4 linked regions of the Saccharomyces cerevisiae S288C genome follow. The gene in region 3 interacts genetically with the main gene of each other region. Each region holds a gene or a part of one and is shown on either strand. Other genes may lie near its edges.

Region 1 (3,367 bases), on a different chromosome or scaffold from region 3:
GATTTACAGTTCAATGTTGAGAATGCTGATCCAAATGAAATAGCATATAAGATAAAAATATTGCGCAATACTCATGGCCGTTTTGAAAATAGCATTATCATGGGTCAAGGACAATGGATTTTTGATAAATCAACTGCCACTGGAACGGTACCTGTACTACGTGGCTGTATTGAGTATGAAAATACTGGGCCAAATTTTACAAAAAAAGTTGATTTACAAACAGTCTCCTTAGAATATTCTTACATAGGACAATCGGCCAGTGGAATCTATGTAGAAGCCATCGATATTGTATCTGGATTAACAATTGGCAAAAATACAAAGCTGTACAAGGGTGCAAAGTATAAGACCCAGACAGGCAATTTTCAAGTAAGGCTGTAGTTATATGTGTACTTGAAATTCCATGCGAAACTAAATAGAATATAATGAGAATATAAGTCTTGGAATAAAAAAGGAATATAAAACTATGCTAAAAAAAAAAAAAAATGAATAAGACTTTCATTCATGAAGACTCTATACAAAGGAATGAAAAGTTGTATTAAGTTGGGTTAGCCCACTGTAAAACGTAAATTGCACCTGAGACAACAATAATACTTACAGGCAAACTTAAGACAGCGTACCCCCAAAATAGAATATCGGCCATTTCTGCCTCGAAAAATTCATTCAGTTGAGTGATTTGAGTTAATTGAATGGCAGGAGGGGAAACAGTCAAAAGAAAACCGACAACAAGGAAAATTGGATCGTCCAAAATACTCACGTTTATGTACTTAACAGCAATAGCAATAATAGGCAAAAGGAAGCAAGAAGGTAAAATCATTCTTCCGATGATGGAGCCGATCAATAACTTGCTATGGTGAACCGTCTTAGGGAAGACTTCCGCAGAAGGATATAAGTTAGAACCGAGGACAACCAGGATCAGTGGGATAGAAACTGAACCCAGCTGCGTAACAGCCTCGGCAAATGTGTTATTGATAAACCCATCTTCCATAAATAGCTCTCTCTGCAACGGACCAATTGCTGCCACAACAACAGCAAAAATCATGGAATATAACGGAGGATTAAGGTTCGCTCTGATTCTCTCAAATACAGTGCATGATTTTTGCCAAATCTTATCACCGATGGAACTCGAACTCAAAAAAGATGAGTTCATTCTGTTATTTTCTTCTTCAAGCAATTCTTGTTCCTCTTGTTCCTCATTGACAAGTTCCTCGTTATCAATGTTGGGCGTCCTTTCCAACAAAGATTGCACTTGAGAAGGTGGCATATGCTGAGTGTTCTCTCCAGACCACTTCATTAGCTTATTGTAACCCCAGCTCCACCTCAGCATTTGTCCGATTTGTTGAAAGATCAGCAAGTATAAAATACCCCTTGATGCAACGTTATCTCTGTTATCATTAGGAATTTGGTCCCAAGTTAAGTTGGGCAGAGTGTAAGCCAAAGATAATGTCAAGGACACAGGTAGAGAGTTACTGTTACCAAAGACAGAGTTTGCCACCACAAAATTAGTTTCATCTTTATCCAAGTCTAGGATACGGCTCATTATCTTTCCGGAAATAAATGAAATACCAGTAGTCAAACCAAAAAAAATAGGAATGATGGCTATTTCAAAGATTTTGGCCATGGACAGGGATTTGGCCAACTTACTAAAAATAAGACATGGTGTAAAAAGGTCCACGTTCAACAGAGAAATGATTTTTTGACTTTGTTTGGGCAGCAGACCAGAACTAGCGCTCCAAAAACCAGCGAGTGCGATAATGACTACCTGTAAAACGGACTCAAAGACCAAATAAGCCAAATGAGCAAAACTAAATGTTTCAACCATATAGTAGAAATGCAGAGTAATCTATGAGGGTATGGTTAGTTGGGAATAACAAACCAAAAACGGGCTTCACACATATTGTTCAATTTACAATAATTTCCTGTTTAAACTTTTATATCACAATTTCAGTTTTTTTTTCTACCTTTTTTTCACTTTGATAAGGAGGCTGTGATCCCCTTGATGCACGTGCAGTTAAAAAAAAGAGGGTTTTTATTTTCTTTTAGATAATTATACAGAAATACTTGATGTGAACAGTACACTTAAATAATCAAGAAGTCGGCCCTGTACTTAAATTGTGGTTGTTGAGCATTCAATATGTCCACCTCTTTGTGCTTTTGGGTTTCTCTTTTTGGGAAACCCTCGAAAGAGTCAGCATAGGTGGCCACAGAGTGAGCAATCAACTTGGTGTTGGTAATGAATGCGTCCCAGGATAAGTTAGAGACATCATCACATAATTGATGGTAGCATCTGTCTAAGACCTTTCCGTTGTTGACGTTATTCTTTTCGGCACCAGTGGCAATACCACCGGCTGGAATTCCGTTGTTGATAAACCCGACATAATCGGATCTACCGTCAAATGGGACCAAAGTGTAGTTCAAGTGATGAGCCTTGTAGTAGTCTACGTACAGGTTTTTCAACTCTTCAGACCCCTTAGGGTTCTCCTTGTTGTTCGCATCATAAATTTCGTATTCATAGTTTGGAGAAGCCATCATGTCATAGTCCATAAATACTCTGATCTTGGAGTTTTCTTCTTTGGTCAAGTTATAAGCGTAGAAGTTAGAGCCTAGCAAACCTTCTTCTTCAGCAGCCCACCATGCAAAACGGACCTTGTTATTGATCTTGAAATGGGTCAATTGCTTAGCGACGTTCAATAGGGAAATAGTACCGGAACCATCGTCGTTGATACCTGGGCCCTCCTCAACAGAGTCTGAATGAGCACCAAGGGCAACAATATTATCAGGATCACCGTGTTTTGTGTCGGCAATGATGTTCTGGGTCTTGATAAATTCTACATAAGAGTCCATGGCAAAATATAATGAATAATCGATGTTCAATGCAATATTGGCAATCAATTTTTTACCAACTTTATATGGAACACCGACGGTGGCGACAGTGTGCTTGGTAGGTTCGCCTAATGTACCGTGTAGTCCTTCTTTAGATTTAGGTTCGTTGTCGTAAATGACCACAGCGGTGAAACCGAACTTACCGGCCAAATTACTCTTATCGCCAAAAGGACACTTACCTCTTTCGATAAGGGCAATTTGCTTTTCGTTGTGTCTTGGTGGGACTACAGAGGCGTAATCCTTCTCTTCACATCCCAAGTTAGGAATTTCGACTAGCTTACCTACGAACCCGTCCACAGGTGGAGAAAGTGCGAAAGCTGTAGTGTTAGCAAAGCTTTTACCGGTTTCGGCGTCAGAGAGGTTGAAAGAGATGATCTTACCGGATAAAGCTTCGAACTCTTGCAAAGAAACATCATAGTAGTCCTGCATGTCATCGAAAACATTCAATATGTATTCCATAGTCTTGTTATGACCCTTGGACCCGATC
Region 2 (3,208 bases), on a different chromosome or scaffold from region 3:
TAAAAAGCATCAAGTAGCTCAAAAGCTTGTTCTTTGTCCATTGATCCCATGAATCCAGACCAGGCGTCACCAATAGACATACCTCCCAGGATTAGTGGAGAAACTCTTATACCAGCTGTTTTAGATAGGACCCTAAGACGTCCTAACTCGGTAGGTGGTTCAGGTGCAGGTCCAAAAGCCTCAGACATTTCGAAGAGCACATTTTGCGGCGGTGGGTTATGAAGCTATTCAATTAATTAACCAGTCCCCAACCGAAGGTGAGAATCATATTGGGTAATACACCTTATTCCTAGTTGTGCCACTATCCTTTTATATGTTTTAAAATCCCGCTCCCTTAAATTTGTACAAGTGCAAGTAATGAAAGTTGTTCGATTTCGGTACGAAGTTTTCTTACCGGTTCCGTGCGAAAACAGCAGGGAAGTACTAGAATAGGCTTTTGAAGCATGCCACCCAGTCTGCACATTTACAGCGAACTTGTGGTGATATGTTTTCCCGTTACAATGATTATTGCGTGGACCCATAATTCACCCTTATTGTCTCTCCATAGTACCCCTTTTCGATATCATTTTCAAACAAACTAGAACTGATAAGATGTCCTGGACTCTTATAATCTATGTGACCACAAAATGGCTCACTAATTCCGAGCCCCAACAGTTGCAAGGCTTCCAATGGTAAACCCTTAAACACTCGCAAATCAGTCCCTAAGTGAAGATTTTCCTCTGGTTTCAAGTAGCTCTTTGTCATAAAAAAATATCCAGCAACTCTGTCTTGTGACGTACGATTTGCACTGGCTGCATGGTAGAGGCTCCCTAAGAATAGAACTGCGTCTCCCTTTGCAACATTAACGTGAAATTCCATCCTCTTGTCAAAGTTCCCACAGGAATCGTGCGGACCCCACAAATGTGAACCGACTATCATTCGCGTAGAGCCATTTTCTTTATTCATATCTGTAAAAGCTACACCTAACCCTACCATGGTTTCGGTTCCATACTGGAAACGTTCACATGCTTGATGGGTCGTATGATGAACAATATCTTCTCGGTGGTAGCCCTGGTCACTTGCACCAGCGCCAACCTTGTAGACTATACCGGAGTTCAGTTGAATATCACTAGTGCATTTATTAATCACCTTTCCCGCCGCAAAGTAGTTTTCTTCATTCAAAAAATGTTTTGAGATATCACAAAACATACGGTCGCATACCACATCCTTTAAGACTGTAGATGAGTGTAAAACCGATCTCGTTGCCACAGTAGTTTCCTTAGGAAACGGTGAGCCTTGCCATGATTCGTATCTATAAAAATGCGGTTCGATTTCTTTCAATATTTCATCACATCTGGAGGTCTCTATAAAATTCTTGACCACGCAAAGTCCGTATACTTCCATTTTTTCAATAATTGCTTTGTAATCGAACTTGTCTTCGACTGTGAATGCCTTTTGCGTTAAGCCAGGCTGGCATACGCCAAGATCTTCCTTTTTTTTCATATTAATGTATTTTTGGCCACCTATATTGTATGGCTCACTAAGGTTGTGTGAATCTGTGTTCATCGTATGGATTGCGTTTTGAATCTGTCCTGCTTGTACTTTGAGTAGGGGAAATCTCTCGTCTTAAGATCTCATGGATGTGCTTTATATACTTTATTAGTTTTACAGACGCGTCACCTGCTATCAACACATGACCTTAATGTTAGACTCTGATTAATTAAATATTCTATTTCTGTTGAGAATAAATTACTATTACTCCGGGGCAGCAGTACCTTCATTTTGAAGGAAAATGAGACAATCTTGCCTCTTTTCCAACGTAAAATTCTTTAGCAGCCCAATAATGCCTCACTTCGCGTTATGTCACTTATTTTTTTTTTCTTTGAGTCATGTATGGACGACTACTAGCCACACCGGTGCTGAAAATCTATAAAAAACTTTGATTCATAACCCAATTTTGACTATCCTCATTAATTTTAGCAATTTCGCCTGTAGTATGTTCATAACTGCAGAATTCTACGTTATGGCAGTACTTCTTTACGTTGTTTTACCAAAAGGTATTATTTTTCGAGAAGCTTTTCAACCTGCCTAAGTTAGTAAACCCTTTTCGCTTTTTTCAACATTCTATGGCTTTTCCCTAGCACTGACATATCTGTAAGTTGATTGCGTGGGACGTCTAGCGCAGGTTTTGAGAAGTTTCCAACAGGCATATCTAGCTTGATATTATTAGGGGTCTATCTGAATCGCTTATGTAAACAAATATTCAACTAGCTTTTCTGTCACTGCAATCGGTAAAATTTTAAACGGCCGTTTCTGCATGTACGCCAACTCACAGTTAAAGCATTCAAAAATTCAAAGGAATTACTAGTAACGCATATTACAAATTCTTTAAACATAAATACTAAGCTATATTGAGCCAAGAACATTCGTTGAATTTTTTTTCCGCCAGTAATGAAAGATATAGTTCGAACTAGGGTAATTGTACTCACGATGGGAGAAATAATAAAAAAATCAATATCTAAAGTCTGACGTACCGTAAAGTTTTCATCACGAACTATGGCGAAGGTTGATGAGACTCTCTAAAATTATTTTGATTTTTGAAGGACGTTTCCCTAATAATTATTAGGGAAAACAGTGCCTTGTCACAGATGAACTGGAATGTACGAGTTAAGGATACTCATATACAACTGCGAATTATGTAATTACATCTATTTTCAGCTTTTGCTATATATTGCATAATTCGGCAGACTTAGTTTATAACAAGAGGCAAAGTAAATAGCCTTTAAAATTTCAATATTGCAGACAACACAATATCGATAAACATAAAATGGAGAAGGCCTTAAAGATATTTTGGCTTTTTTCTCACTGGCTCGATGGGTAACAATGGTCAAAAAAACAGGGCTATTATTTGAGTCAGCGAAGTTTCACAATTGTGTCATATTGGTAGATGCACTGATATTACCGAAGACTTTGTCATTACTTTCTCATGTACGCTGGATTAACGCTATTGAGGACGGTTTTTTATGTAACTTTTTCAGCCGCAGCGTTTTGTAGGCAGATGAAGTGCGCTCATTCGTTTCAATTGTAGTACTTAGTCGCATTTACCATTTTTTTTACCAATTATTGACCTTCCTGTTTCAGACGATCCCAAGGGTCCAGAATGAAACATAAACTATAGTCTTGAACAGAGATTTTCTTCTCAATTAGGACTTTTAGGCTCTCATTGTTG
Region 3 (3,461 bases):
CTTCCATGATTATATATCCTTACTATCTACTATCCAACTACTACATATCTATTGAACTCATATGTACCAAGCACATAAAATTATGCACCTATTTCCATTGGCAAAGACTTGGCGAAATTTAATACACTGTAATAATATCCGGCGAAGCTCTTTAAGAATTCTTACCTATAATAGCGGCTCGCTGTCCGAACGATTGCGCCGCACTTTTCTGCCTCTTACATTCCCTTTTCCTAAGGCGATAAGCAGGCTGAATGGAAACTACGATATAACGCAGTAGAGGTCCCCCAAGAGCTGGAAAGAAAATATTGGTTTGATAGCCAGCACTATTCTATCCAGTGGGCTCTTGTACCATTTTCTGTGGTATGGCTTTGATTCAACTGCATACGTAGTTAACGCGATCAGCCGCACATGGGCATTATCATTTTCAGGGGTACTGGTAAACCCTATTGTTTAGAAAGAATACCTGGTAAGCGGGTCTGTCGAGTCTTTCCCACTAATTTTGAAGAAAAAATCTTTACCTAGTTTGAGAATAATCGTGGCGTTCGTAACATCACGAGGTGAGAGAGACCAGTTAGGTAAGGGTATGCCAATAAAAGGTTATTGATACTTCAACGAATCTTCATATTAAAAGTGCCTTCACCAGAATAAAATTCTAACGTCATCCTAAAAAGCATCAATTGGACATAGTGAGGGAAAGTTTTCACCATTTAAAATCTATTCTGCAGAATACCATTCTAGACTATGATCCCTTAAAGATTCCCATTCTTTAAATATACAAATCAGGTTCAACAGCGTATCTTTATGGTATTATCGTACTACTGGCGACATTAGCAAATCCAAGTATCCTAACTAGGTTTCTAGTCTTATCTCTTGGTTTTCTCCATTAGATGGTAAACACGTTACCTTGATGGCTGTACAGGAAGTGAACATGGTCAACTCAAAGTCACCGGACTCAAAATAATTGCAATTACCTAGACTGGATATTTTTAGAATATTATGAGAATATTTTTAGAATACTTGCAACCCAAAATATATTTAAATGCCGCCAATTTGCAACCAAAAGATTATCCGCTACCTTTTTTTTAGTCATTGAATTGTAGCATAAAGTTCCGAGCTTTGAAAAAAAACTTTGAACTAAGAAAAGGTAAGAGATCCTCAATTATGATATTACTTCATGCCATATATACTCTTTGGGTAATTATACTACTTCCGCTACTCAATGCAGAGAAATTTGTCCCAAAAGTAACGGAGGCTCCTATAGAAACATCATTTAATCTAGTGAGTTTTGATGATTCCAACACTTCTATCAGATTAGATGGTTGGGGGGTTGTATGGATAAGTTTCGACGCTGGAGAAAATTGGGAAACGGTCAAAGAAATTGAAGAGCGCATTTTCAGATTTACTGTTGATCCTTTCCATGGACAGGAAAGAGGTTTCGCTTTTATATGTGAATCACCCAAATTCTACATTACCGACGACCGTGGGGAGTCATGGAGGGCTTTAACTATACCCTCATCAGAAGAATATTTAGATGGCGACTGTTTTATAACTACTCATCCTAGAAACAAAGAACTTCTTATTGCGAATTGCTATAGCTATATGATAGACGCAGACGTTTTATATGACCCAAGTGAAATTTACTTGAGCAATGATGGGAATCCTTTTTTAAAATTAAACCTTCCTTGGAAAAGAAAAAAGACGACGATATAACAACTTAAAGCTGTCATTTCATTAAGTCTAGCAAGGATTCTGACTTTACTGGTAATGATACTTCGATACTCTGTTTGTTCTCTAACCGTGAATACGATGAAGAATATCGCTTAACTGCTACCTACACACAGTTGGCTTTCAGTAGTGATGGAGGCAAAACGTTTAAAGATTTTGATGAATTTAAAGATAAGATTGTTACTCAATACAAGATATTGAAGTCATATGTGGTCGTTTTAACGCAAGATGACGGGCATAACGAGATGTCATCTACGGACATCTGGATATCCAATGATGCATCTACTTTTCAAAAGGCACAGCTGCCTACTCAATTACGGCACGTCAAAGTGATTAAAATTCGTGAAGATTCTATCGGAAGGATCATCCTTCTTATATCGACAGAAATCACAAATGAGGAAAATGCTGATCCAGATCTCTCAGAGATTTTCATATCAGATTCGCAAGGGTTGAAATTCTCACCTGTTGAATGGACACCAAACCATCAGTTTGGAAATTTTAGGCTCACTTTTCCTGATTTCTTGAAAGGGACAATATTTGGATCGTTTCATCCTTCCATTGACTATTCTAATCACCAAGTAAACTATACTGAAAATATAGCCGGAGGAGAAACCAAAATATCCGTTGATAACGGCCTCACATGGTCAAATTTGAAAGTTGTTGATGAAGAAAATGCCGATTCGTTCGGCTGTGATATCACTAGGCCTGAGAGATGTTCACTTCAGGGTTATTTTTACAATCTAAAACTTTCAAATCCTTCTGCTGGGATCATATTAATGACAGGTTCTGTTGGCGATGACAATGAATTCGATCGGAAGGACCGAAAAACTTTCATTTCTAGAGACGGTGGTCTAACATGGAGGGTGGCCCATAATTCTTCTGGATTATATGCTACTGGTGATCTGGGAAATATTATTGTATATATCCCGTCTCCTTCATATAAAGATGGTGATGTACAATCCAAACTTTATTTTTCCTTGGACCAAGGTAGAACATGGAATCAATATGAGCTTGTTGACGCTTTATTTTATATCCATCCATTAGAGTTGATTAATACAACGCCAGATGGATCAGGCTCAAAATTTATTTTAAGCGGACATCTCATTACTACGGCTAGTCAAGAAGGAAACAACACCAACATCTCATATATTGCAAGAAGTGTCCTGTATGCGATCGATTTTTCTGCTGCATTTTGACTATAAAACGTGTGAAGAGGAAGATTTCGAAGACTGGAATTTGGCAGATGGGAAATGCCTTAATGGCGCCAAATACATGTATAAAAGGAGGAAACAGGACGCCCGTTGTTTGGTAAAAAGGACATTCAAAGATATGATTTTGCATGAAATACCTTGTGACAGTTGTACTGAATCCGACTACGAATGCTCTTCTGAATTTGTTAGAGATGCAAAGGGTGACTGTATACCAGATTATGATCAGATTGCCCTTTCCGATATATGTGACAAAGCTAATGGCGAAACTGTATCATTAGAGCCATTACAATTAATTAAAGGAGATAAATGCAAAAAGCCCATGGAAATTGAGGCCATGAACATTCCATGTGAAAAAATCCTGAGGGAGAGCTCGAATGGTAAGAAAATAGCAACCATTGAAAACAAGTTTGACTTTGAAATTTAATTTTATCAATATTTCGATACAGTTTTGGGTGAATCTTTTATCATGCTTAAGTCAATAGAAGATGCCTACATACCTCACGATATGATGAATAAACAGTAAAA
Region 4 (2,604 bases), on a different chromosome or scaffold from region 3:
GGTTCTGCTCATGTTAGGGGGTGTATGAGCAGATAATCCAAGTTAAAATAATTTTTTGGAGAATATAGAAGAAAATATATAAGGTTTTGCTTTTTCTAGATTTTATATAGGATAGGGTATTACTAACTTGTAATATAATGTATACCGTGGTATCCATTATATCTCTGGGTCTAGTAGGAAGTCACAAAAGTACTTTAAAGCAGCATAAGTTTCCTTTCCAACTGGCTTGATGTTTTCTGGAGGCAATAAAAATCCATGGTTCCCTGTATCCCGTAATTTCAACTGGAATGCCCAATGTGCTCTGTGGTGGTACATGAAGTCCAACGCAGAACCTGCACCGAGGCCGGGGAATATGTCGGAACCACGGTCCTTACATGCGGAGATTACGTCGTAGTTTCTACCTGATTTTGAACGGATGGCCTTGGATAAGCCATATGATAACTCCAACAAATTTTCTAAGTCTCTGGGCAAGGCATCACACGAGTATGCGTAGGGATATAAAATCTCCTGTGAATACGAATGCATGTCAATGTAGCCATAAATTTTGTAATCGCCCTTGGTTTCATTAATATACTTGTACCAAGCAGATGCTTCCCAAGCTTCGAAGGGCGTTTCCCCACTATACTCTTCGCTGCAAGCGTGGGTGTGTGCCTTTTCCCACTGGAAACCAAAGGAATGATCAATGTCGATACCAAGACATTGAGGAACATGAGTCCTTTGACGATTCTTACGCCATAGTCTGTCATGCGACCACGTATATGCGTATCCGTCTGGATTGAACACAGGTATGACTAAAAAGTCCAAATCGTCCAGGTATTTGGTTTCCTTCTTAGACGAACCATATCGATTTAACAACTGATAAAGTGCCCAACAGACGGTACTGACACTGATCCACTCTCTGGCATGTATACCACCTGTGATAACAATAGTCTTCTTTTCCGGGTTTGATTCTGGCTTGTTTCCGGATATATGCAGAGCTTTTAGCTCTCTGCCTTCAAATGTCCTGCCCAAGTGTTCCACTGCAACCAAACTGGGAAAGCTTCTTTCTAGAAGATCCAACCACATATAAATAGTATCCAGGTCCCTGTATTCGTTAAAGAAGAAATCGTAATCATTTTCAAAAACAGCCTGCTCACGTGCCATCATCTGACTTGTAGGCAATGTATTTTGTATCAATTCATTCATGTTATCTATGATCACCTGCCCATCATTTATCTGCTCACCTATTTCTTTAGGCAACTTAATATCAATGAAATTATTGCTTCTCGTCCATACATCATAATCATCTGTCAGCGGTGCGATCACATCTCTTACCAGGGTAGAATAGTTGTCTGAAGTAAACCTGTAAACAGCGTATTCACTGTAATCCTCTTGGAGACCCTGCACAGCACCTGTCACGGCTAGTAAAACGAAAAGAAAACAACCCCACAACGAATTCATGTGCAACATGATATAACTTAACACTCTGGTTTGTTTATATAGTGTTAACTTGGTCTTTTAAACCGTCGAAAATATTTTATCCTTCCTTCCATTTAGTTGGAACCATTTTCTAGTTCTTCGTAAAATCCGCAGTCAGCGCAGGAGAAAATAGAACGAGACAAATGATCTTTTAAATTACAGGTTATCGCGGGAGAATATTGGGGTTCAGAAATACAACACATATAAACAAAAATACGTACCAAAGAAGTGTTATAAAAGTGATATAACTATGTCAGAGGATCTTTCACCTACAAGCAGCAGGGTGGATTTGAGCAATCCTCATGGGTTTACCAAAGAGGGAGTGGATTTATCGAAGCTGTCACCACAAGAACTAAAATTGTATAAAATGTATGGGAAGCTTCCATCCAAAAAAGATCTGTTAAGACATAAGATGCAGGATCGTCAATATTTTGACAGCGGAGATTATGCATTGAAAAAGGCCGGAGTCATTAAGTCGGATGACGTTATCGTGAATAATTCTAGTAATAATCTACCAGTGACCAATCCTAGCGGTTTAAGAGAGTCTATTATTAGAAGACGTATGAGTAGTAGTAGTGGTGGCGATTCTATCTCGAGACAAGGAAGTATCTCAAGTGGACCTCCACCAAGATCTCCAAATAAATGACTAATGAAGGAATGATATTATGTGGTATTACTTTTTTTTTATCATCACTAGCTTCGGCTAAGCCCTTGCATTTTCAATATTCAATTACCAAATAATATATATATATATATATATATATGTATGTATGGTATACCTTGTGTTACTGATGTGTTTTTTGTTGACGTCATCCTTTTGATTTACTCACATGCTTAGTAAATGAAGGTTGTTGAGGCCTAAAAATCAGCTAAGATTTACACATCGATACTAATCATTGAACGCCCCTATGGGAACACTTAATTGAATAAATATCTGCCCAACTTGCTGAACATCAAAAACCCAAAAAAATAGAAATCTATAAAATACAACGCCAGTGACAACTGCGAGAAACATTGTGAGCAAGTGAACGCACTAAGGGCACCAATTACTAGACCTGGGAAAAAAACGGTTAAAGTGCCATCAAAGAACAACCACAGAACAATGTTTAATAAGCTCCATGCACCAGCTGCCTGCAAAGAGGAGGA

The links.
Region 1: mutations in EMA35 (region 3) and YBR287W together harm fitness more than expected from each alone (negative genetic interaction), as found in Saccharomyces cerevisiae (one large-scale study listed by BioGRID).
Region 2: mutations in EMA35 (region 3) and YJR154W together harm fitness more than expected from each alone (negative genetic interaction), as found in Saccharomyces cerevisiae (one large-scale study listed by BioGRID).
Region 4: mutations in EMA35 (region 3) and IGO2 together harm fitness more than expected from each alone (negative genetic interaction), as found in Saccharomyces cerevisiae (one large-scale study listed by BioGRID).

The regions. Positions count from the first base shown.
Region 1 is NC_001134.8:775,023-778,389, reverse strand, and holds YBR287W (uncharacterized protein), read right to left. Parts: upstream 1,820-3,367; coding exon 536-1,819; downstream 1-535. Other genes in the region: APM3 (Apm3p), read left to right, coding at 1-378; APE3 (aminopeptidase Y), read right to left, coding at 2,077-3,367.
Region 2 is NC_001142.9:724,121-727,328, reverse strand, and holds YJR154W (uncharacterized protein), read right to left. Parts: upstream 1,546-3,208; coding exon 505-1,545; downstream 1-504.
Region 3 is NC_001135.5:300,731-304,191, reverse strand, and holds EMA35 (Ema35p), read left to right. Parts: upstream 1-1,970; coding exon 1,971-2,921; downstream 2,922-3,461. Other genes in the region: YCR101C (uncharacterized protein), read left to right, coding at 1,162-1,710; YCR099C (uncharacterized protein), read left to right, coding at 2,893-3,360.
Region 4 is NC_001140.6:368,346-370,949, forward strand, and holds IGO2 (phosphatase regulator), read left to right. Parts: upstream 1-1,708; coding exon 1,709-2,104; downstream 2,105-2,604. Other genes in the region: ECM14 (putative metallocarboxypeptidase), read right to left, coding at 157-1,449; NSG1 (Nsg1p), read right to left, coding at 2,377-2,604. UniProt on the Saccharomyces cerevisiae protein: Required for TORC1 to properly control gene expression and chronological life span. Plays an essential role in initiation of the G0 program by preventing the degradation of specific nutrient-regulated mRNAs via the 5'-3' mRNA decay pathway.